4 linked regions of the Schizosaccharomyces pombe genome follow. Changing the gene in region 2 together with the main gene of any one other region gives a genetic interaction. Each region holds a gene or a part of one and is shown on either strand. Other genes may lie near its edges. The genes, in order: dcd1, ssb3, rfc3 and rad54.

What was found.
Region 1: mutations in ssb3 (region 2) and dcd1 impair growth when combined (synthetic growth defect), as found in Schizosaccharomyces pombe (one study listed by BioGRID).
Region 3: mutations in ssb3 (region 2) and rfc3 impair growth when combined (synthetic growth defect), as found in Schizosaccharomyces pombe (one study listed by BioGRID).
Region 4: mutations in ssb3 (region 2) and rad54 impair growth when combined (synthetic growth defect), as found in Schizosaccharomyces pombe (one study listed by BioGRID).

The regions. Positions count from the first base shown.
Region 1 is NC_003423.3:3,456,462-3,462,087, forward strand, and holds dcd1 (deoxycytidylate deaminase), read right to left. Parts: upstream 3,859-5,626; 5' UTR 3,774-3,858; coding exon 3,454-3,773; exon of another isoform or gene 3,306-3,453; intron 3,262-3,305; coding exon 2,773-3,261; intron 2,734-2,772; coding exon 2,681-2,733; intron 2,644-2,680; coding exon 2,537-2,643; 3' UTR 2,396-2,536; coding exon of another isoform or gene 704-2,395; 3' UTR 501-703; downstream 1-500. Other genes in the region: myr1 (N-myristoyltransferase 1), read left to right, coding at 1-98, 142-339; histidine--tRNA (His) ligase Hrs1, read left to right, coding at 704-2,395; protein Csi1, read left to right, coding at 4,979-5,626.
Region 2 is NC_003421.2:1,279,189-1,285,998, forward strand, and holds ssb3 (DNA replication factor A subunit Ssb3), read right to left. Parts: upstream 3,214-6,810; 5' UTR 3,177-3,213; coding exon 3,030-3,176; intron 2,967-3,029; coding exon 2,864-2,966; intron 2,763-2,863; coding exon 2,698-2,762; downstream 1-2,697. Other genes in the region: pdr16 (sec14 family protein), read right to left, coding at 1-1,711; rpm1 (3' ssRNA-specific 3'-to-5' exonuclease), read left to right, coding at 3,974-6,810. UniProt on the Schizosaccharomyces pombe protein: As part of the replication protein A (RPA/RP-A), a single-stranded DNA-binding heterotrimeric complex, may play an essential role in DNA replication, recombination and repair.
Region 3 is NC_003424.3:4,032,135-4,040,023, reverse strand, and holds rfc3 (DNA replication factor C complex subunit Rfc3), read left to right. Parts: upstream 1-4,191; 5' UTR 4,192-4,241; coding exon 4,242-4,315; intron 4,316-4,480; coding exon 4,481-4,545; intron 4,546-4,594; coding exon 4,595-4,808; intron 4,809-4,859; coding exon 4,860-4,933; intron 4,934-5,074; coding exon 5,075-5,446; intron 5,447-5,507; coding exon 5,508-5,737; 3' UTR 5,738-5,879; downstream 5,880-7,889. Other genes in the region: prp12 (U2 snRNP-associated protein), read left to right, coding at 1-1,880; rps002 (40S ribosomal protein S0B), read left to right, coding at 2,438-3,301; phosphorelay sensor kinase Mak2, read right to left, coding at 5,978-7,889.
Region 4 is NC_003424.3:3,679,860-3,684,921, forward strand, and holds rad54 (DNA repair protein), read right to left. Parts: upstream 3,407-5,062; 5' UTR 3,287-3,406; coding exon 728-3,286; 3' UTR 501-727; downstream 1-500. Other genes in the region: EF-1 alpha-binding zinc finger protein Zpr1, read right to left, coding at 3,863-5,062. UniProt on the Schizosaccharomyces pombe protein: Plays an essential role in homologous recombination (HR) which is a major pathway for repairing DNA double-strand breaks (DSBs), single-stranded DNA (ssDNA) gaps, and stalled or collapsed replication forks.

The sequences.
Region 1 (5,626 bases), on a different chromosome or scaffold from region 2:
CTGATTCTTGTCCAAAAGACTTATCTTCTGAATCACAGTTGGCATTCGTTGAACGTTGTAAATTGATAGTTAATGATGCTCTTATATTGGCTAAAAAGGTAAGTTTATATGGTTTTATTACTTGCTAATAATTCAAAACAGTTCCACTTTGATGTATTCAATGCTGTTACGGTTTTGGATAACAATCTATTCTTGAAGGACCTAAAATTTGGAGAAGGAGACGGTTTTTTGAACTATTACATCTATAATTATAACTGTCCAAAAATTCCTGGAGGAATCGATGCTTCTAAAAGTGTTGATTATTCGAGGCCTAGTGGAATGGGTTTTGTAATGATTTAAATCCTAAAATATTAAAATACATTATTTTTGATTTTTTTGAGTGTTTTTACTATTTTAAAAAAGTCCATATTTTAAAAGGTTTTTTGATATTAAATTTTTACTTATAGAACTTGTCATTTCACAAATATTAGGTTTTTAAATTTATAAAAAATATATAATAACTAGTTTTTATTTTCAAATGAAATTATCCCACTTGGTTTGCATAACATAAAATCCAAAAAATTTTCAATGTTTCATTATCCAAGGTTCTATATTTTTTTCTTGGTTATTTAATCAACATGACAAATGGTTTCATTAGTCCTTCAATCACCGTAAAATGTATTTAAATGGATGTAATACTGAGATTTGCATTTTCAGTTAGTGCATGTTTGTTTTTACCAAAAACCTATTCACCACCAAATTTTCGTCTAGCCTCTTAAATTGGCGTTTCTTGAGAACTATGGCTGATTCTCTAGTAGATATAAATGAAAGAATAACTTCACAAGGAAATCTTGTTCGATCTTTGAAAAGTCAAGGCGCCTCTAAAGAGGACATTGATAAAGAAGTTGCTAAATTACTTCAACTGAAAAACCTCAAACTTGGGGGTTCGGAAGTATCAGGAAAGAAAAAAGACACATCTTTTACACTGAAAACTCCGAAGGGTACTAAAGATTGGTGTGACAAAGATGTTGTTTTACGTGAGCACATTTTTTCAACTGTCACAGAGATATTCAAGCGTCATGGTGGTGTAACACTCGATACGCCAGTGTTCGAATTGAAAGAAATTCTTTCCGGAAAATATGGAGAAGACAGCAAGCTAATTTACGATTTGAAAGATCAAGGTGGAGAGCTTTGTTCTTTGAGATACGACTTGACTGTTCCATTTGCTCGTTGGTTAGCTATGAATCCCAAAGTTACGAGTATTAAGCGATTCCATATTGCAAAGGTTTATCGAAGAGATCAGCCAGCTATGACAAAAGGCCGTATGCGTGAATTTTATCAATGCGATTTTGATATCGCTGGCAACTACGATCCTATGATTCCCGATTCTGAAGCTTTAAAGGTTTTAGTGGAAGCATTAGATGCATTAGAAGTTGGAAATTATACTATCAAGCTTAATCATCGAAAAATTTTGGATGGCATTTTTACTGTTTGTGGTGTACCGGATGACAAAATTCGTACCATTTCCAGTGCTGTGGACAAGCTAGATAAACTCCCTTGGGAAGATGTCAGACGTGAAATGGTGGTTGAAAAAGGACTTAAAGAGGAGGTGGCAGATAAAATTAAGGAGTATGTGTTATTAAAAGGCGACCGCTCTCTTTTAGATAAGCTTGAAGCCGATAGTTTACTATCAAGCAATAGCTCGGCTGTTGCTGCATTTAACGACATGCGTCTTTTATTTGATTATTTGGAAGCTTTTGGAGTGTTAGATAGGTTTTCATTTGATATGTCTCTAGCGCGTGGTCTCGATTATTATACTGGTATCATTTACGAAGCAGTAACAGAGGCTTCTGCTCCAAAGATTAAGAGTTCGGCGGAAAAGAAAAAATCTGCTGATCCTGAAGCAGATCGTTCCAATGATGACTCTATTGGCGTTGGTTCGATTGCTGCTGGTGGACGTTATGACAATTTAGTTGGAATGTTTGCTGCAAAGAAAAACGCCAAAATCCCTTGTGTTGGCATTAGCCTTGGTTTAGAGAGGATTTTTTCAATTCTTAGATCAAAAATTCCTGATGAGGATATCCGTGCAAATGATGTTGATGTTTTCGTTATGGCATTTGGAGGTGGAAAAGAATGGACCGGCTTTTTGAAAGAGCGTATGTCTGTTTGTAAAGACCTTTGGGCAAATGGCATTAAAGCAGAATTTCTTTACAAAGTGAAACCCAAACCACGTCAACAATTTGACGCCGCCGATAAATTCGACGTACCTTTTGCTGTAATTTTGGGTCAAGATGAGTTTGCAAAGGGATCTGTTCGTATTAAACAAATGGGTTTAAAAGAAAATAGCGATGAAGGTCAGCTTGTGCCACGTGAGGAAATGGTATCAGTTTTGAAAAAGTTACTTAAATACGATTAAATATTCCTATAGCTCAATAATAATTATTGTATTATTTGATTGTTATCTCATCAATATTGTAAGTATTAAATAAAGATATTAAAATCGTATTTTCTGCAATCAAAAAGAGCGGTAATCTAAAAAGTAAGTTCTGTTATTAACTTAGAAAATGCTGTTTTCCGGAGGAATATATTGTCGTAATTGAACTCCTGCGGCTTGAAGGAGAGAAGCGGTATGGGAGTCCATGTTGTAAGACGTATGATAGACAACTGAGCATTAGTAAAAGATTAAAGAACTGAAACATACCTTCTTTAATCCCAAGCTGAGTAATCTTGACAGAACACGTAAGACAGGGACATCTTTCGACTGTTAGTAGCTTTATGTCTATATTTACATACGTATCACAGTATAATATTGCATTGTTTCCAACGCGTTCACGGCCAGCCTCTAAAAGAGCGTTTTCTTCGGCATGAAGACAAAGACAGGTATCAAGTTCTTTTCCACAGGAAGAAGCAGAATTGCAACGTGGACATCCGCCTTCATTACAGTTAGTGGCTCCTCTAGGTGTTCCATTGTAGCCTGTCGCAATAACACGATTTCCTCGCACAAGTACGCAACCGACGCGACGTTTCATACAATTGCTACGCTTCGCAGCCAGACTTGCCATTTCCATAAAGTACGAATCCCATGATGGGCGAAATCTATTGGGATTCAAAAGATCGGCTTTTTGAAGCTTCTCCCATAGATGAAGTTTAATATTGCTATCATTATTTATAAGTAAATTAGCCAATGCTCGGTGTCGAGTTCCAGCATTATCAGATTGAAATGCAGCCGCGTCTTGGATACTACAAAATTCTTCAAGTGTGGTATTCGCAAGAGAAGAATAACTATATGTCATCATTATTATTTCACGCAATATTCAGTTAATCATGAGGAGCTTATGTAACCGTGTAATTTCGAGCATGAAATGAATGAAACTAACAAGATATTAAGGTCCTTACACTGAACACATTGCGTGAAGAATAATGACAATGAATTTAAAGTTAGCAACAACATGTTGACATTGCAATATTACATACGTTTTGTAGCGATTGAACCTGAGCATAATTGGGGCATCAATATATACAAGCAAAAAGAACGGACGTTTGAGCAATGCACTTAACAAACGTGGACTATGAATTCCATTAATTACAAATCTTTCGCGCCATCTTGGAGTGAGATAGCTAATAAGATCGTCAACGCTGCCAAGGACTAAATCGCCAGTTCTATATATATATTCTCCATCCTCGTTTAGTTGTGGTAATCGAAAAATAGCATTGAAACCATGCTTTGTCTCAAGGTATTCAACAACGGCATCTTTTCCACTACATAATGGCCCTGTAAGACCAACAGTTGGCATATTTATTTGCTTAATAAATCAAACAAAGCTACTTAAGCTTAAGAAACGTATTTCAGTTTGATTATCTCCCCAAATAGTTAGAGATAGATCGGTTTTAACGTACTCACATACCTAATGATACTAACTATCAATACCAACAACGAGTTGCGAAAATGCTAACTTTCAATTTCGTAAAACTATGCTTCTATAATCTGTAATCTTTTTAAAAAATAAAATATATATTTAATGAGATTAAAAACTATTTGCTTCCAAATCTTCACGAATCCTTGAATATTTCAGATTTTACGTTTCACTGTACTGGACCAAGAATCTAAAAAATCCTTTTAGTGAATTCGAATAAAGTCGTTTTTGGTTTTAAGTGTATTGACCTCTCTTTTGCTGGTCACGCTAAAGTTTAGAGCACTCAAAAGTTGTACTTAAGTGCTGTGTACTTCAACAGCAACAACAATAAGATCATTAACTGTATATTGTTAAGGAGAAACTCGGAACAAACGCATTCAACTAACAATGAAACCATTTTTATCTAATTAATGTTCATCACATCAAATTTGATAATGAGCGCATTTCATGTAAACTCATGTGAAACGATGGAATCTGTCGAATAATATTTTTTATGTGCGAATATTCAGAATTCTTCTAAAAGTCCAGTAATTACATACTAATCGTTCGTAAAATTATGTTTACGGTTAGATTACTATTGCATCGTAGGCCTAGCATTAATTGTCAAGTCAGCAATTCAACAATGATATTTATATGTGGCACATATTCTTTTTCTCAACATCCTATTTAATGATATTGGAAAATTTTTTTGTTTTCGGGAAATTAAAACACTACAGAACTCAACTGGACTGAGGAAGAGGTTGAGTTATGAGCAGCTTCAGTAGTAAGTTAGAAGGTTAACTTCACGTACCAACTTAATTAATAATCGAGCTCACAGCAACATAAGTGATGATTGTTGGTGATTTAACGTATCATTAAAGCTAATTACAGACTACATAATAAGCATTAAGCCATTAACGTGTACTAGGTAATACTCACGACCGTACTGTAGAGCTCGGTAAGATCGTAATTTTGTCAAGTTTCCTGAGGTTTAATAACCCTTTGGTTGCAAATTATTGTTAATCACGATCTTGTAACTCCTATAATTATTGAAGTCAGTTTGCAAAGAATTTAGAATTTAAATCACCAAATAATTTGGGCATGAGATGAGTTTCAATCCTGCAGCTGGACTGCTGGGAAAATTAAAGAAATTATGGAATGATACAAAAAACGATTATTTGGAATGGGAGCGAAGCCAACAAGGTCAAATTAGTGAGTCAGTGGTTAAGAATCACTCACCCTCAAAGCGAAAGCGACGGCCATCGAAGGAGCCTTCCCTATCACCTAAGCGAAGAAAAAATATTTTAAATGATCAAAAAAAAGATGAAGAGTCAATACCTAATGCTGGTACACAATCACAAAATTTTACTCACTTAAGTGCATCTAAAATTCGTATCTCAGATGAGGATCGAATTAAGCCATTGGTAGATTTAAATCAAGATCACTCTTTTGACATGGCATACTTAACACCTGCAAGCGCTCCCCCTCCGCGATTTCGATTTGTACCTCCAAAATCTGACGCGAAATCTCATTCGGCTCCTAGATCGCTAGAAGGTGTTACTAGCTTATCTGATTCTCATTTCAATTCCCTTGAAGCAAACTTAAAAGCGATTTCGAAAGATAGCAACAATAAAGCGCACAATAATCGTTATGATGAGTCTTCGCTTACGAACCCTGAATTTTCCATCCTTGTTGAGCGTTTAAAAAGTATTGAAGAAAATTTACAAAGCCTGCAGGAAAGGATTTCTCATTGT
Region 2 (6,810 bases):
TACCATCAGGATCTAATTCCTTAGGGAACTCAAAAGATGCTTTAGACTTCAAGGCAGGACTGTTCTCATTTGCTTTAATTGGCGATGCTACCGTTGACTTAGTAGAGATAATAGTAGATTTATTAGGAATGTCAAATGATGCAGCTTTTTCTTGAAGCTTTGGAGCAGCTTTAGCAGATGCTGCTGGTAATACCTTATTAGGAGTAGAGGGCGCTGTACTGCTGCGTCCACCTTGGAATTTGGGAGCCACCTTGGGACTCATCGCTGGCAACACTTTACTAGGGGTGGAAGGGGCTGTAACGCTATTGCCACCCTGGAGCTTCGGGTTCATTTTAGGAACTGTACTTGGTGGCACTTTTCTAGGAGTAGAAGGTCGTGTGTCAGATATACTTTCGCTATGCGGTTCCGGATTTACTTTAGGACTAGTGGTAGTTGGCAACGGCTTTCTCGGAGTAGATGATTGTGTCTGAGAGTTTTCTACCAAGGATGCTTTACTGGAATTATCTTGACTTGAGGGATGATCTGAGCCGGATTCTGGAATTTTGTTATCAGTGCTCAACAAGCTTGGGGGGCTATTTTGCACCACCTTCTGTTTATAGAATTGGCTAGGAACGATAGTGTCATACGAAGAGACAGATTGTCTTTGGCGCTGCATTGTCCCAACGATTCCTTCAATGTCTCCTTCAGAAGAATGGAACTGAAAATGCCTTTCATCAGTGAGAGGGGCATTGGAGGCATGTTCAGTTTTCATCGCATCCTCAGTCACGGCTTTTTCATCTGAAATAAAACGACTAGAGTCGACGTCAGTTTCTTTAGCGGCTTCATTTACCGAAGCATCGCCTAAAGAGGTATCTCTTCCGTCACGTTCCAAATCACCAACAACAACTTCAACGTCTCCGCGAAGTGAATGAAACTTGTAATGCTCTGTGTTTGTAAGCGAAATTTTGGTATTTTCATCACAAACAGCTTTTTCAGATTTTGCAGGGACATTAGCAGATACAGGATGCTCAGTAGGTTGTTTTTCATCAGAAACCGTCTCACTGCTATATGCTACTGCATCCGGTGATTTTAGCGGATTATTCGCAATATTTGGATTAACTTTCTCAACTCTTTTTTCAGATTCCGTAGTAGAATTAATCTGATCGACATTAAGTTTGCTATCAGATTTAGCAGCAGCTTCATCGACATTTATTTTATCATTCATATCTACATTAAGTCTGGGTGTATCTGAATCATCGGGTGTAATTTTTGGTTCAGCGGCAGAATTACCTTCGGAAACATCTACCGTTGGAGCTGAACTACTCATGGCTGCATCATTAGCTTCAGCTTTATCAGATTGGACCCTGCGTTGAGCGACCTTTCTTTCACCTTCAGCATTACGAGTTTTTTGGTTAGCTGCTTGAATATGCTGCAAGTTGACTGTATTTCTCATCTTTGAGGCAGGAGATGAAGAAGACCCTGTTTTGGTATGTACAGTAGGATTACCAACAGGTACAGATTTTCTGACCTCGTTCGAAGTGGAAGATGTGCTAACATTAGGGCGAGCAGGACGCACATTAGAGGCGGGTCCTTTGGCAGCAGTATTTTCTCTTTCATGAATACTGCTGGTATTGCTTTTATGCGATTTTCCTTTTGACTTGCCAAAACCAAGTTTATGGAGAAACTTACTAAAGCCGTTGTGGCCATGATGGTGATGTTCCGAATCTTTCATCGTGGTTTTGTATCGATAAAATTAACGAATGTTGGTTTTGAATAAACTATTAACAGTTTAGATTGCAAAGGGTATTCTTTTCACCGTAAAAGAAGAAATATCAAAGGAAATTAGAAATAATGGAATTAAATGAAAAAAGGTATTTTCCCAAGACTTAAATTACTATAGGGTTCGAAATACTTAACTCTTTTCTTTTTTCTCTATTTTTAGTAAGAGATCTCGATGGTTTACCATGAATTCCAGGATATCTTTTATCTCTGTTTCGACCAATTTAACATGCAAGCAAGTTAGATTATATTCAAAGAAACGTGTCTGATCTCTAAAGATAAGGCGCAGACAGAAATGCAAAGAACAAATGTCAGATATATTTAGAGTATTTCAATCGGAGCAATTCCGAAACAATCCAACTTCTGCATATGCACGTTTTCTAACGTTATTTCTCTAACAATCTCAATAACTGCTAAACAACAGTTTTAGCAAAAAAGTTTGTAAAGGAAAAAGTAATATAATAATTCTCAAAACAACCAATTTTCTTTAGGAATAAGCGATATTCAGCGTAGTACCACTAGATATACTTGCGTTGCTCGCTTTGTATATATATGGTAGTTGGATTGTTACAATGGCAGGGTGACTGAAGGATGAGCAAACGTAAGAAACACCGGTATGTACCGTCTTCGGAGCCGAATCGTCCGCGATGAGCATCTCAAGGATACACTAAATAAGATAGTGCGAAAAAAGGAGAACGTTATATAAAAATACTCAAACAAGAATCAAAAAAAGTGAAATAAACGATAGTAAAATTCATATTTGTATTAGCCAAAAGGAAGAATCATTATAAAAGAAAAGCTTGAGTTTAGAAATGCAATAAAATATGCAAAAACCAAAAGAAGGAAGCAAGATTCTGCGCGTTTATTCTTCCATGTTTATTTGTACTGTGCATGAGAAATGAAAGAGAAATCTGTGTTGTATGATCCATAAAATGTTTCTTATTCAAAAAAAAGTGAGTTATACTTATGACTGAATAGAACGAGTTTCTGGTATACCTCCATATCTAAAGGAACAGGAAATTAGTTAATCGGTCAATAGAATGTAGGACTTAGCAGAAGCAGAAGTTCAAAGGACTTCCTTATTATTTTTATAAACACAACTTACCAATATCAGTGCCAAAATCAACACAGGTTAAAAGCTGCACCGAAGAATCTGGTTTGACAGAAACGACAAATTCATAGAAATGATTGGGTTCAAGAGTGTTATCCTAAAATTAGTTAGATAAAATAAAAAAACTCTGAAAACCGATTGTAAAATAGATAAAACGTACCACAGTGAGGTGCATATCGAAAGAACCGTTGGAATCGACTTTTGCAGTTTCACCTTCAACTTGATTCGCCTTGCCAACAATCCGAACCGTTTTTCCAGAGCATTCTGGTAGCATATCTTTCGTAACTCGAGGTGTAGGGCGTTCCATATTATTTTATACGCGTTGTTTATAAAGTGGTGGAAGTGAAGTATGTATCAGACCAGGTAGTTAACTACTTGTTGACACGAATTATTTAAAATATTGGAACGCAGTACGTTATGTATTATATGTTGGAAGGCGCTGGGATGTAAATAAAAAAGCAAAAGCGTAAATATAAACGCTGGGGGCTAACGTTGATACATTACTGTTCTATTTTTTATAAGAATTATTCATAAAAAAATCTCCTTGTATCCTTCTGCGTTAATTTCACTACTTATTAATTGGTTGAAATGTTGTAAATAAACGGGTTAAAGACCAATATAAATACGTCTTACATATAGTGATTTAAATAACATTATGGAAAGATTTCATGGTATTTTATACTATTTTTGAAATCGTCGGCGACTCTTAATTTTCTCTCTTTTCCAATACCACTATTAGTAAATTGCTTAGGCGTAGACCAGAAGCTTCAATAATTAAAAGTAAATGTAATTGATGGAAAGCAGCCTTCTTTTAATGATATAATTTTTCAATTAGTTTTACCTTGAGGTTGTGATTTCATGTATTTCACTTTGAAGTCGCCCATCCCCTCGACCATTCAATTCAAAAAAAAAAAAATCAAAAAACTCCATACTCATATTGAAATCTTTCTTCTGTTACATTAGTTATTAAACCACTCTTCATTTACATTTGCAGAGCTTGTTACCTTAATACTTGCTAGTACCTAAAAGTGCTCTGGTTCAGCTCTCTAGTCGAATTTACCATCAACACTATTTTTGGTGTTACTAATTATAGGGTTTTTGCCCATGAACTATAGGCAATTGTTTCTTCTTCAAAATGTTAATTTAGAGTCTAATTATTTATTAAAACGTGTATGCCTGTCTTTAAAATTGTCTCCTTGTAAACTTACAAGGAAATTTCATCATGCTTGCCCTTCCAGTTCAAAAGTTTTGAAATATTTCCGCATAACTGGATGCCTAATAAATTTCGGGAAACAACCAGCAAACGATCATCATCTTTGGGGACATTGTGGTGCGCGTTTGAAGCATACTCAATCAGATCTTATTGATCGATTTAAAAATGCTAATTTGAAATCCGTGAATGAGGAAAACCTTAAAAAATTTTTCTCTGAATTAGAAAATCATGGAAACATTAGACAGTGGTTGAAAGACAAGTTCGAGAAGGACAAACGCGCTGCTGTTTGTCCTACTACTACAAAATCTGAGGAAGAGAAGTTGGAAAATGATTTTGAGTATTCTTTTGATTTAGAAGATTTCAGCAGTGAGAATTTTAGACAGTACGATCGTGGAGATTTGCTAGTGTTTTATAGGGGCTCCGAAGGCATTGAACTTGCTGCATGCACTGGTACTAATGTTTGGAACTATAGTAATGTATTGACCAGCATTAACGAAAACGGTACTATTAAGGAATTTCGTACATCTAGAGTTTTACTGAGATGTCCTAATGTCTTTAAAAAGCTGAAAGAGGTGCAGCAACCTCTTTCTGATGTTTCTGTTCCTTCTGATGTCCTACCTTTCACTATAAAGTTATTAAAAAAAATCTCTCAAAGAGCACAAGATTTAAGTCGAAGTCACCGAAATGAATTTTTGCGAATATTGACAGAATTCAATATTCCAAATAAACTTGACAATTCAGCTTCTTTTTCAGACCTTTTGAAATTTGTGTACAAAACTTCGAAGCCTAGCCCATATGCTAAAATCTCATTGTTACACTTTTTGCTTACAGAAAGCAAACATTTTTTAATAAGCGATCACATATTTTCCGAAATTCAAAAAGTCTATTTCCTTCCCTCTTCACAAAATGATTCTTTTGACGACGTTGTTGCATGCCTGCGTCAGAAATCAACACCATATCTTTCGTTTATAAAGAAAGCTCGTCATTTAATTCAAGTTTCCCGAGATAAATATAAGTTACCTATAAGCACCGAAGAAATAAAACCCGTAGTTTATTCACAGGTCACTTGGACTGAATTTGAAAAAAAACTATTGCGGTATCTTGTTCAGGAAATGATTGCAAAAAGTATTCAAAGTTTACCAAATACACACTTGTGTCAGGTTTACAAAGAAGTTGGCCTTCAAACTCACGAGAGGGGATTAACTAGTGATCAGTTTGCTAAATTCTTAACGGATATTGGCGTGTGGGCTTCATGGCAGCCCCCGAGGTTGTTTCAACAGGAATACAGCATTGCTGGCCTTGGTACTAATCCTCAGTTAGATGCTGTGTATGAACGTGAGTGTAATCACTTTAAAAAGTTTGTAAAAAATGAATTAAAAGATTCACTTGAATCGCAACGCGTCGATTTAAGGCATCTTAAAGCGTTCGCCTTTGATAGTTCTTCTACGAAAGAGATAGATGATGCGATTTCGGTTGAAGAATTAGGGATGTCTAATTCCTGGCTTCATATCCATGTTGCTAATCCTACGAGTACAGTTGACATTCGCAGTCCTTTAGGCACGTTTGCTGAAAGGAACTTTCAAACTATTTATCATCCCAACAAAATTGTGTATATGCTACCTCTCAATATCACTCAGAAATATTGGAGTTTAGATTCATCTTCTACAGCTCAAAGAGCATTAACTTTTAGTGCTAAAATTTCAAAAAATGGCGATATACTTGATTACAAGGTTCGGCCTAGCTTCATTTCCTCAGTTATCAAATACACACCCCAACAACTGGATAAAGCTTTGCATAGTAATCGATCAATTGCGAAAGACATCGTTTCTGGACCAGTGGATGAGGAAACAAAAGGAGTATCAAATGATCACATGAAAGATATATTAAGAATATATGAACTTTCGAAACAAGCCTGTTTTTCTAGGTTACAAAAGTTTGCGTTTGTTATTGCACAACCCACTCCGACAGTTGAATTGCTGCCTAATAATGTCCCTTATAATCTTGGTGATCTGAATCATCCAGTATACTGGTCTTCCTTCCCTACAATTAGTTTGAACGTTAGTGAAGGGTATAGCTTGGCAGAATCAGTAATATCAGAGTGCATGATATTGGCTGGCCGGGTTTCATCATTATTTTTTCAAGAACATAAATTACCTGGGATTTTTAGGGGCCAGCCTTATCCAATTATGGATGGTGTACGAAGAAAAGCGTTTGAAACTTTGTTAAGTAACAGGTCATCTTGGGGACTCGTTGAAACTAAGTATTCACTTTCTGTAATGCCTTTATTTGAAAGTTCACATTTAGCCTCCACACCTGTTTCCCACTTTTCTTTGGGGCTAAAGGATGGCTATATTCAGTCTACCTCTCCTTTACGCCGGTTTACCGACTTCTTCACTCATCATCAGATTCAGTCGGTATTATTAAAGACTCCAAAAAATACTATACCTGATGGTATTCTTCGTGGAAAACTAAATTTGTACAACCAAAAAGAAAAATCAATTAAAACTATAGGAAGATACATTAATCGTTTCTGGGCCTTAAAATATATAGAGAGACTTCCAAAGGTACAAAAAAATATTTATCATGGATATTTAATGGTTTCAGAACTTTCAACACCTCAGGTCATGTTGGAAGAATTGGGTGTTAAAGCGCATATTGATATTCTCCCGGACGAAGCATTCCGGTTAGCAAATACTCGCCAGGCATTTACAATTAAGGATGTCTTTCC
Region 3 (7,889 bases), on a different chromosome or scaffold from region 2:
TTGCTTTAAGCAATGGAGAACTCGTTTATTTTGAAATGAGTGATGATGTTGAAGGAGGTCAGCTCAACGAATATCAAGAAAGAAAAACGCTTACTGCTAATGTAACTTCTTTGGCTTTAGGCCCCGTACAAGAAGGATCAAGAAGAAGTAATTTTATGTGCTTAGCATGTGACGATGCTACGGTGAGGGTGTTGTCTCTCGATTTGTACACAACCTTAGAAAATTTGAGTGTACAAGCCCTTAGTTCTCCTGCCAATTCTTTATGCATAATTCCGATGAACGTAAATGGTGTGAGTACTCTCTATTTACATATAGGTTTAATGAATGGTGTCTATTTACGAACTGTTATCGACGTTACATCCGGGCAACTTTTGGATACAAGGACTAGATTCTTGGGTCCACGAGCTGTCAAGATCTATCCAATAACCATGAAAAATCAAAATACGGTGTTGGCGGTGTCTTCTCGTACCTTCCTTGCATATAGTTATCAACAAAACTTGCAACTATCACCAATCGCTTATTCTGCAATTGATCATGCTTCATCTTTTGCAAGCGAACAGTGTCCAGAAGGTATTGTAGCGATTCAAAAAAATACTTTAAAAATTTTCACAGTCGATAGTCTGCAAGATGACTTAAAATCTGATATTTATCCGTTAATTTGTACCCCTCGAAAAATCGTTAAACATCCCAACTTTCCAGTTTTGTACATTTTGCAAAGTGAAAGGAACTTTGACTCATTTAAATATGCTCAAGAGAATGGAGATGTGGGTTCTTCGTATACGAAGGAGAAGCAAAATGAACACACATCAAAATCTTGGGTGTCATTTATATCTGTATTTGATATGATATCTAAAAAAATAATCCATGAAAGTCCGCTGGGCGATAACGAAGCTGCTTTTAGTATGACAGCCGCTTTTTTCAAAAATAGAGATGAATTCTTTTTGGTAGCTGGTTCTGCCACTAATATGGATCTTGAATGTCGAACCTGTTCTCATGGAAACTTTCGAGTATACCGGTTCCACGATGAAGGTAAAAAGCTTGAGTTAATCAGCCATACGGAAATCGATGGAATTCCTATGGCTTTAACTCCCTTTCAGGGACGTATGCTAGCTGGAGTTGGACGCTTTTTACGAATTTATGATTTAGGAAACAAAAAAATGCTTCGTAAAGGTGAGTTGTCTGCTGTACCACTATTTATTACACATATTACAGTTCAAGCTAGTAGGATAGTGGTTGCAGATTCGCAATACTCAGTTAGATTCGTTGTCTATAAACCTGAGGATAATCACCTACTAACTTTTGCTGATGATACTATTCATCGGTGGACTACTACAAATGTCCTTGTCGATTATGATACTTTAGCAGGGGGGGATAAATTTGGTAATATTTGGCTTTTACGCTGCCCCGAACATGTTTCTAAACTAGCTGATGAAGAGAATTCTGAATCTAAATTAATTCACGAAAAGCCCTTTTTAAATTCCACACCTCACAAATTGGACCTAATGGCTCATTTCTTTACAAATGATATTCCTACTTCGCTTCAAAAGGTCCAATTGGTTGAAGGAGCTCGAGAAGTTTTGTTATGGACCGGTCTTCTGGGTACTGTTGGAGTATTTACCCCTTTTATTAACCAGGAAGATGTTCGATTTTTTCAACAACTGGAATTTTTGTTGCGAAAAGAATGTCCTCCTTTGGCTGGAAGGGATCATCTTGCTTATCGTAGTTATTACGCTCCAGTCAAATGTGTTATAGATGGTGATCTCTGCGAGATGTACTATTCGTTACCTCATCCAGTTCAGGAGATGATTGCCAATGAACTCGATAGAACAATTGCAGAGGTTTCAAAAAAAATAGAAGATTTTCGTGTTCGTAGTTTTTAAACAAATAGCTTACAAATCCGTGAACTTTGACGAAGAAGATTTATAAAGGGCATCTCTTTATGCCTATCCTTCTTGAAAAACAAAAGTTTCTTGATGTCGACTCTTCAATGTTTGGCAGCTTTTTAATATAATTATACGTCTTATGTCGATAGCAATTTCTTCCATCTAGTGTTTTTAATAAAGAAGCAATTATTAATCCTTTCTCTGGTAAGACCATTCGATTTCAAAGTAAGTTTGGAAATAGGGGTAATTATAAAAAAAAATATAAAAGTTTAGTACTAAAATAAATAAATAATGACTGTTATACAGAGTTCCCATGAAAGGATTTTCTGTAAATGCCTACCAAAATAAAGCATACTATAAGTTGGAAAACAGCTATTACTGTAAATCTTTTGTTTACGAATTAACGATGGGTTACAATTCCTTAATCTTCTTTAACCTCAGCTTAGAACTCTGTAAAAAAAGTTTTGACCGAAAAAGCAGTCACTAAATTATCAACACTATGGCAAAGGTGAAATTGGAATTTCTTCCAACCACCAAGAGGTGCACGCAACAAAATGGCAGAATCCATAGCCCGTCCATCAGTTCTCAACGCTACTGATGATGATATCAAGAATCTCTTAGCCGCCGACTCCCACATCGGCTCCAAAAACTTGGAAGTCCGCATGGAGAACTATGTATGGAAGCGTCGTTCTGATGGTATCCACATTATCAACTTAGGCAAGACTTGGGAAAAGCTTGTTCTTGCTGCTCGTGTAATTGCTACCATTGAGAACCCAGCTGATGTTTGTGTTATTTCTAGCCGGCCATATGGACACCGTGCTGTCTTGAAGTTCGCTGCCCACACTGGTGCTACTGCCATTGCTGGCCGTTTCACTCCCGGTAACTTCACCAACTACATCACTCGTACTTACCGTGAACCTCGCCTTATTATTGTTACTGATCCTCGTGCTGATGCTCAAGCTATCAAGGAAGCTTCCTTCGTCAACATTCCAGTTATTGCCTTGTGTGATACTGACTCCATTTTGAACCATGTTGATGTTGCTATTCCTATCAACAACAAGGGTTACAAGTCCATTGGTTTGGCCTGGTATCTTTTGGCTCGTGAAGTCCTTCGTCTTCGTGGTAACATTTCTCGCACCACCGCTTGGGAAGTCATGCCTGATCTTTACTTCTACCGTGATCCTGAAGAGATTGAGCGTGAAGAAGAACAAAAGGCTGCTGCTGCTGCTGCTGCCGAAGAAGAAGCTCAATTGGCTGCTCAAACTGCTGCTGCTGAGTTTGAAGTCACAGACAGTGCTGCTGGAACCGTTGACCCAACTATATTGGACAATGCTACTGCCGGTCAGGTTGGTCAAACTACTTGGGAAGGAGACGCTGAATGGAATATTACCGGTGCTGCCCCTTCTGAATGGGCTTAATTGTTTATTTCCCATTTCATGCAGCTAAAAAACCATATCTTTGAGATCACGTTATGCTAATAAATAAGAGCCATTCGTGCAGTACTTATAAGTAGGTGTGTTAAATTTCTGTTATAATTTTAAGCTTTGGTTGTAGTGCTGAAACAAGATTATTTTACAGTACAATGAATAGATTATCATTTGGATATTGAATCTTGTCGTAGTGGTAAATATAAAAGAAAATGAACTGAACAAACATCGTCTCATTAGCTGTGTTATTTGTAGAAACAGTGTAACCAACATTGAGTGTTGTGGATATTGTATGAAATCGGCGATGCGAATGTTAACTACCCATATATGTTTAAAAGTTAGATTCCCAATGTTGTTTTTAAAATTTTAGTTCATTATTGATTACAAATTATCAGTGAGTCTTTATTTTGACAAATTTCGAACAGATAAAGTATTGTCAATTCTTGAAAAAATCGTAGGTTTTGAATGTGAAGTACTAACTTTAGTGCTGTTCGTTTTCTGATTAGCAATCCTTAGAACATCACTAATATGTACAACTCAGTACTAATCAAATTTCTTGAAACTTTTAAACACTTATATGTAGACTATTCTTCTCTTCGCCCAGTACAACTGTTCAGACTCCGAACCTTCGATGTCAAGCATTCATACAAACAATTGAAGCATTTTTCTAGACAGATAAAGGAGGTATTAACGTGTTTATTCAATTTTAAGTGTCCACCGTACATTGTATGAAAATCGTATTTAGCAAACTTTTAAGTGATAAAACTTGAATAGATATATAGAATCAGAAACATAATTACATTTAAATGTTATCTTCATAAAACTATCTGAAAGTAGTGTTTATGCGAGGATATTTAGTCAACCCAATGTAACTGACCTCTAGCATCTACATCTACTGTGCAATCAGTCCTCAAACCTGCAGTCTTCCAGCATGTCTATCGAAAAAGGTAAAGGGCGTGCAATGGACATTGACCTTCCTTTGGGAAGTGAGAGTACGCTCCCATGGTAAGCTAATTACAGTGATTCTGGTTACTTTGTTTTTGCACGATATTTACATTCGCGCAAAACTCGTCATGCCATTCAAAATTACAAATTTGAGGTCTTTTGTGTCTAAATATTTACTTGCCGATTTACCTTTTTTAAGTTCCTTTATATCTTGTTAACATTTAGGGTGGAAAAGTACCGACCAGCTAATTTAGAGGATGTGGTTTCTCACAAAGATATCATATCTACGCGTAAGATTGACCATCACTTTTTTCTGTCTTTTCTAATCAAATAAATAAGTTGAAAAATTCATTAGTTCAAATAGAGTCCCTCATATGCTGTTTTATGGGCCACCTGGCACAGGCAAAACCTCTACAATTCTTGCGTGTGCTCGAAAAATTTATGGACCAAATTACAGAAATCAGTTGATGGAGTTAAATGCAAGCGATGATCGTGGTATCGATGCCGTGAGGGAACAAATCAAAAATTTTGCCAGCACCCGGCAAATCTTTGCGTATGTCGTTGATGATATTTAGTTCCAACATATGTTTGACTAACAATTTAGATCTACTTTCAAAATGATTATATTAGATGAAGCCGATGCCATGACTTTGGCGGCTCAAAATGCTTTACGAAGAGGTAAGCCATTTTTTAAACAAAGTGTGGAAGATAAAGTAAAAGAAATACTCTATAATCTTTCCGCTTTTCTAATTCCTCGTTGTTAATCCCTTCCTTTTTCCCGTTAATTTCTTTTTTCCAAGCTAACCAGTTACTAATCAGTAATTGAAAAATATACTAAGAACGTTCGTTTTTGCATTATCTGTAACTATATCAACAAAATATCTCCTGCTATTCAATCTAGATGTACCAGGTTTCGCTTCCAGCCTTTACCGCCCAAAGAGATAGAAAAAACGGTTGATCATGTTATTCAAAGCGAACATTGTAATATTGACCCTGATGCAAAGATGGCCGTATTAAGGCTTTCCAAAGGAGATATGAGGAAAGCACTGAATATACTCCAGGCGTGCCATGCTGCCTACGATCATATTGATGTATCTGCTATCTATAATTGTGTAGGCCATCCTCACCCTTCCGATATTGATTATTTTTTGAAATCTATCATGAATGATGAATTCGTAATCGCTTTCAATAGTAAGTCATTCATTAAACTCTTCTTCACTTTTAGGATTTTTTCTAACTTTGTTTATTACAGCCATTAGCTCAATCAAACAGCAAAAGGGTTTGGCCTTGCAAGACATTTTGACATGTATCTTTGAAGCACTAGACGAGCTTGAAATAAAACCAAATGCTAAAATTTTTATTCTGGATCAGCTTGCAACGATTGAACATCGAATGTCTTTTGGATGTTCTGAAAAAATACAGCTTTCAGCAATGATAGCGAGCATTAAAACTGGTGTTGATTTAGCAGCAAAGGTAAATTGAGTTGTGAACTAATTCAGAAAATCATTAATGTCGACTTTGTTTTCAACTCTAAAGTAAATATTTCATATTGACTATTTCTATCAAAAAAAAATTCTAGTCCTATTTAGAAACTTAAACAATATAAATTGTTAAAAACTCAAAAAGCAGGAACTGATAATGTACAAATAATGAAAAGAAACTAAAAAATAAAGGTAAAAGTACCTAATTATTGGAATAGCACTTCTCAGTTATACTTTAGGTTCAACGAGCACTCTTCTCCAAAAGCACAAATTCGCGAACGGCATTGACTAATTGTTTTTGAGTAAATGGTTTGGTCAAATAAAAATTCATTCCAACCTCTAAGCATCGCTGTTTTGCAGATTTCTGTATATCAGCTGTTAAAGCAATGACTGGGATTGGAGTTGAGCAATTATTTTCACGTTCGTAAGCACGGATATCCATAACTGCTTCTGCACCATCTCGGATGGGCATATGGTAATCAGCAAATATTACACTATAAAAACCAAATTGTTTAGCCTCATACATTTTAACCAATTCAACGCCATCTACCGCGGCATGAACTTGGAATCCTAAATTGCTTAATTGTTTCGTGAGCAACTTTCTAGCAATCAAATTATCTTCAGCTATTAGCGCATACTTTTTCTGAAGAATCTCCTTCTCTTCGCTAGAAAGAACAACTGCTTGATCGACCTTCCTAGGTGATGCTCGAAATTGAGAGGGCTCGACAAGTTTGGTAGGAGTTGACCATTTACTTAGTAATGCGGGAAAGTTTTGTAGTAACTTTGAAATGCGTATTGGCTCCCTGAAGCAAAATATTCTGCTTTGGTTTTTATTTAAAGAGGTTATGAATGGATCGCCGTCAGATCGTACTTTCGTTCGTTGAATCGACGGTAACAGAACAATAAGTAATACCTTGTTCAATTTTTGATTACTAAGTATCTGAGTAATTATTTGTTCCGTCTGGCCGCTGGCAGCTTCGATACAAAGAAAGTCATAAGGTTGTCGCTTATCTAAAGAATCAATTAACTGCTGTTCGATATCACTGTAAATAGTAGTTGTATCAACTACAGCTAAGGAGAAAAGAGACCTGAAAATAGATCGTGATGTAGTAAATGATTTAACTACAAGTATTTTAGCATTCTTAAGAGATTGTCGAATATTAGCAAATCTCTCATGGCTTTCTTCGAAATGTTTCTGAGATAACTTAGAAGTAACGTTACGCAATTGGACATGGAACCAGAATGTAGAACCTTCTCCATAAACAGACTGAACACCGATGTCTCCATCCATTATTTTGCATATTTGAAGGCAAATAGAGAGCCCAAGGCCTGAACCTCCATAGATTCTAGTAGTGCTACCATCGACTTGAGTGAAAGGATTAAAAAGCAGTTTAAGTTGCTCTTCTTTAAGTCCAATTCCAGTGTCCTCAATCTCAAATCTCAATTTGCATTGATTTTCTTCTGCATTTATTTCCTCATCAATAGCCATACAACGTAACAAAATATGACCCTCCGTTGTAAACTTTACGGAATTTCCAAGGAGATTGGTAATAACTTGTCGAAGCTTTGCAGAATCACCAGCCAATAAAGCTGGAACATTCGGATATATGTCGTATGAAATTTGAACAGGTTTAGAAGAAAGAGAAGGGTATACTAACTCAATGCAATCTGCAATATTCTCTTCAACATCAAAGACTTTGTCAGGCTCAAGTTTCATTTTGCCTGACTTCAATTCGCTGAAGTTCAATAGATCATCTATAATTTGGACCAACGATGTGCAACTCTGTTTAGCAGTGCTAACTATGTCATACTGCTCTTCATTTAATTTGGTATCACTAAGCAGAGAAAGCATCCCATAAAAACTCGAAAACGGAGTTCTCAGTTCATGAGACATATTGGCAAGAAAATTAGTTTTTAGATTGACAGCATGCATTGCAGCTTCACGAGCTTCCTTTTCATCATTAATATCTATACAAACAACTATCCACTTTTTAGCATTAGCATCTTCTTTAAATGACAATCCACGACACAAATGCCAATGGTAATTTCCATCTTCCATTCGTAGAAGCAATTCAATGTCGCCAAGCTCTAGAGTTTTAAGGTTCAATAATTTTTCTTGAAATTGGTGATGATGGTCCGGGTGTATGAATGTT
Region 4 (5,062 bases), on a different chromosome or scaffold from region 2:
TCCGTTGCCAGCAAACTTGATATTTGTCGATTGGCTTTATAATCCGGGTCTAACTACTATTGAATGTTACTATTTTTGTTAAGTAAATATGCATATATAATATTTAGAAGTAATATATAAGATTGCAAATGAAACAACCCTTAAATAAATAATTGGTTATGTAAGCTTCTACCTATATTGGAACATTCACGAGTTTGAACGTCCAAAGTATTTAGACATAAGCAATGTTTATATAAGCTATTAGAGTGACAAAAAGCATATAAGATGTATGCAGTTTGCCTAAAAGTAGCTACATGGTTAATAACAAAAATTCGAGACATCCCAATCTTAATATAGAAAAGCAGTGCTAAAACTGTCACGGGTTCGAATACTAACAAATGCAATTTCAAATGTTTCAGAAAAATATGACAAATTATATGCTCTTAACAATTGAATATAACATTCTAAAAAAAAAAATTTATTTCAGCATACCTGTAAATTCGTAATAATTTTGTCACAAAGCTTACCAAGGAGTAATTGAGGTTTGGTAGGATACAATTGAGGGTTGGATATTAATTAAATTAAAAACTATATTTTAAAAACCGGAATTAAATTCATGATATTGTTTTATGCATCGAATAGCAAATCAAACAGGGATAAAGAGAGGTGAGAGTAGTTTAAAGACAAATCAAACTAAATGAAAATATGAGGATTTGTGAAGAGAGCAGCGTAATTAAACACGTAAAAATTAATGAGATTTGTATTGGAAAACGGTACTCACTTGCTGTTTTCCTGCCTCACGTTTTAGCAAGTGATCTTCTATTCGGTCTAATGTGGGATTTGTAAAATGATTCCATGTGCTAGTATCACCGTATAACATGGCTGGGGCTCGGATGAATTGTTTTCCATCACGACACCGTTTACATTTATATGTTTCATGAGTTTCACAGACTGTGTGATCGTTAAGCTGAAACAGCTGCCTTAAGTTATCAAGCGAAAAATGTCTTTCGACATCTTGAGCTTCATCCACAACACAAGAAGACAAAGATTGCTTATGAGACTGCCTTTGGAATATCTTTTCTTCGATGGTTCCAGTAGCTATGAAACGGTAAACAAAGCAGTCCTTCTTTTGCCCATCACGCCAAACTCGAGCTAAAGCTTGTTGATCGGCGGCTGGATTCCAATCGGGATCAAACAGAATAAGACGATTAGCGCCAATAAGGTTAATACCACAACCACCTGCTTTAGAAGATAATAAAAACACAAAAGCATCCTTTTCCGGGTCATTGAATGTGTCAACTAAACGTTGTCGTTTATTTACATTCATAGTACCATCTAGCCGAAGAGCCTTGTAACCGCGAGCTCTACAAAGCTGCTCAAACAAGTCAAGCGTGGAGGTGTAATTGCTAATTAAAACAATTTTATCGTCTGTCTCTTGTTTTATTTGATAGAGCATTCGTTCCAACACTAACATTTTACCTGATAAAGAGGAGTCAATGTTTCTATCGCGCCCTCTTAGCTCACGGGGAATAAATCCTGGAGGGAATAGAGCCTCACAACCTTCCAAGTCCTCAGTTAAATTCAATAGATCAGGATGATTACATATTTTTTTTAGCAGACCTATAGCTTTTAGTGGTTGACTGCCGGTCCCCCTTAAGATTTTATTGATTTCAGGCGAGGTAATAAAATGCTTGTACAAAGAAAGCTGAAATTCGGAAAGGTTGCAAAAGACAACATGTTCGTATTTAACAGGCAAATATTTGGAGAGAATATCATTCGTACGACGAATAATAAACCGATTGACAATCTTGGCTAACTCAGCTAACTTAGCATCACCATTCTCCTTATCTTTTTCTGTTCCGTCAGCATCACGACCTTTTAAAATTGGAATTTCATAATTTTTTCTGAACTCTTGCCTTGAACCTAACAACCCAGGATTCGCAAAATTTAACAACGAAAAGTATTCGCTTAGATCATTTTGAATAGGGGTACCAGAAAGGATGACACGCCTTTGAACGTTTAGCTTGTCTAATGCCGTAAAAGTCAAAGAATCACTATTCTTAAGACGATGACCTTCGTCACAAAGAAGCATTCCAATTTCTGCGTTGTTGAGATGCTCAACATAACTTCTAAGGGTTTCATAACTGGCAATAAGCACTGGACGTGTGACTTGTCGTCCATGTACGGATGCCCATTGTTGCAAAGCCATGATTAACTCCTGTTTGGAGCTTTTACCGTCCAATATGAATGGAGTAATAGCATCTTTTCCTAACCATTTGACAAGTTCATTAGCCCAATTTTTGACTAAAGAAGAAGGACAAGTTATAATTGCCTTTTCAATTGTCGGTTTTCCAGCCTGAGGAGACTGTTTTAAAAGGGTCCATAACAAAGCAATACATTGAAGTGTCTTACCAAGTCCCATCTCATCTGCCATAATACATCCATTTGCACAACGGTCAATCCTTCCAGTTACACACTTGTACAAGAATTTGACACCTTCTATTTGATGAGGTCTTAGAATACGAGCAAGTTTTGGATCAATGACAACAGCAACAGGAGGAGGTGGAGGTTTTTCTTTCTGAATTCCTAGTAGATCTTTCAAACTTTTATTTGGTCTTCTATGCTTTGAGGTATTAGAGGTTATGAGACTTTGCTCGGTAGAACAGCTAGCCACTGTGTCAGTGGAGACACATGAATCATGGTCACTTTCAGGCTCACTATCAGAAATTTCTTTCTTTCCTTTTCGATTTTTTAACAATTCATCTTTTTTACGTTTTTCCGCTAAGACCTCTTTTATATCAGGAATGATCTCATCTGCATCAGTAGTGGGATCATATAAAACGATAGCAAATTCATCAGCAGGATCGTAAAGGGGACGAGGAATAAAATCCACCTTCCTTTTCATTCCCAGTGTAGGAGGTGGACGATGTGCACACAGTTTAGATATATCTTCATGACCCTTGATAGGTTTAGGCACAGAGAACTGTTTCTTAATGACTGTTGAGGGATCTCGTCGTTCATGATTTAGTATTAATCGATTAGCTTCTTTGATGGTTGCCAACCCAGACACATTTTCAGATACGTAAGCTGAATCATACTTCCCATCAACAGAACCATATTCGCTGTAGTTAACTCTTGGCTTTTTGCGTAAAGGAAGCTCTTTTCGCTTTTCTGAAATCACTAAAGAAGGGCATTTAAACTTTTTAAACAACTTTCCAGGAACATTCTCTTTGTTTTTTGATAAAACAGTATTTAACTTTGAAGAAGTAGAAATTCTAGGTTTAGCAGTTGTTGGTTGCTGAATCATTAAATATATTAGCAATTATTAAAAAAGAGATTACTGAAATAGAAGAAAGGGTAGGAAAAGAGGGATAAGGATTCAAACAAAAAAAAAAGGAAAGTGCTGTTTATACCAATGGTATGTGTTGAGAAATATCTAGATGTATATATAAATTAAATTCTATTACTATTATAGCGTGTCGCGTTCTTTAAATTACGCACCATTGTTACCCTTCACTAAACATGGTATACAAATAATGAAATTGTGAAATATGAATCAATTATTTCTGGTATCGGCTAAATATGTGTTACAAGTTTGTTATTGGTAATAATTTTAGCTTCACTATCTAACATTTCTTGTAGCAAATTTTATGGTTTACTAATACTTCGAATTATTAGCCTCATAACATTTGCGATAAATCAAGTAACTATTTTAAACTAAAAGTAAAATAATAAAGCATCAGTCTCTAACAAAAACATTACGGGAAATAAAAATTAGCTAATCTACTATACTATTATATCTTCATAGTCAATAAACCCCCCAAAAAAACATAGTATTACTATATTAAATACATTCCCTAACATTTGACAAAAACCTCGAACTTTACTTCTTACCTCCATCCTTTTCATAGTTTTCTGTCTTCATATCGTTCAGACCCAATTCCTCATTTACTTGGAATGAACGTTCATACTCCTCAATAGTCATATTTGGATCTGGATCGGGAGCGTAATAATTCTGCAGATAACTTTGTGAAAGAGGATCATCTAAAATAAGAGTGAATTGAGTAGCACCCTCACGTGCAGCCGTCAAGTTGCAGAGAAATTGTTGCCAGTTAGCGACTTGCTCAGGAGTCATAGAATCGGTCTCCTGAGAAAACACACGGCCATATAACTCATCATAAACTTGAGCTAGAAGACCTTCAATGGTTGTGAATCGTCCACCCAAAGTACCTGGGAACAAATCAAGTCCAAGTTCAGGAATTTTAAGAGATGCGGTTTCAGATTTGAGAATATCACGGGATAAGTCCTCGGCATCCATGACCTTTAAAGTAATTTTTCGACCTTTGGGTGGAATTTCACCACCAGTTTTTACTTCGTTGGAACGATATCCACAACGATCACAAACAGTAGACATGATAATAACTTCTTTGAAATGGGGAATATCAAGCAACTTCATGTGGGTGTCACATTGATGTGAACAAGAGGGACAAGTTGCATGGAAGGTATGTACCTCATTGGGATCGACTTCCACAGCAGTAGCATCATGTTTAAGTGTATTAGAAGCGTTGTTTGTTTGTGTCTTGACGTCTTCAGGTTGATCAGTATCCACAAGACCCAGCTTCGTATTCTGCTCCAAAGTACGCTTGTAGCTAACCTGAGACCATCGGTCACCATCTCGGCCAGGTTTCATCTCGATCCAGCTGTTGCCCGTAATATCGTCAACTGTGATGGTAAATGGTACAGATCCAGAACGTAGACTATTCACTTTCTCAATGAAAGCATTTATTTGGTCATATAACTGAGGAGCAGACTCCTTACGAGATTCTTGTTCTTTACTTAAATCATCCACCACATTACTCAGAATCCCCTCAATGGTAGTTAACTGGCCTAACCTTCCCGGGATTTCTAGCTGAATTTCAGGAATACTGACAATAGCCTCCTGGCTCTTTACAACTGTCCGATTTAAATCTTCCTTATCCTCAACATGGAAAGTAATTTTGCTTCCTTCCGGTTGAATTGTCTCAGCGTGTTGAACTTGCGCATTCTTAAACCCACAATGAGGACATTCAAACGACATTAAAAC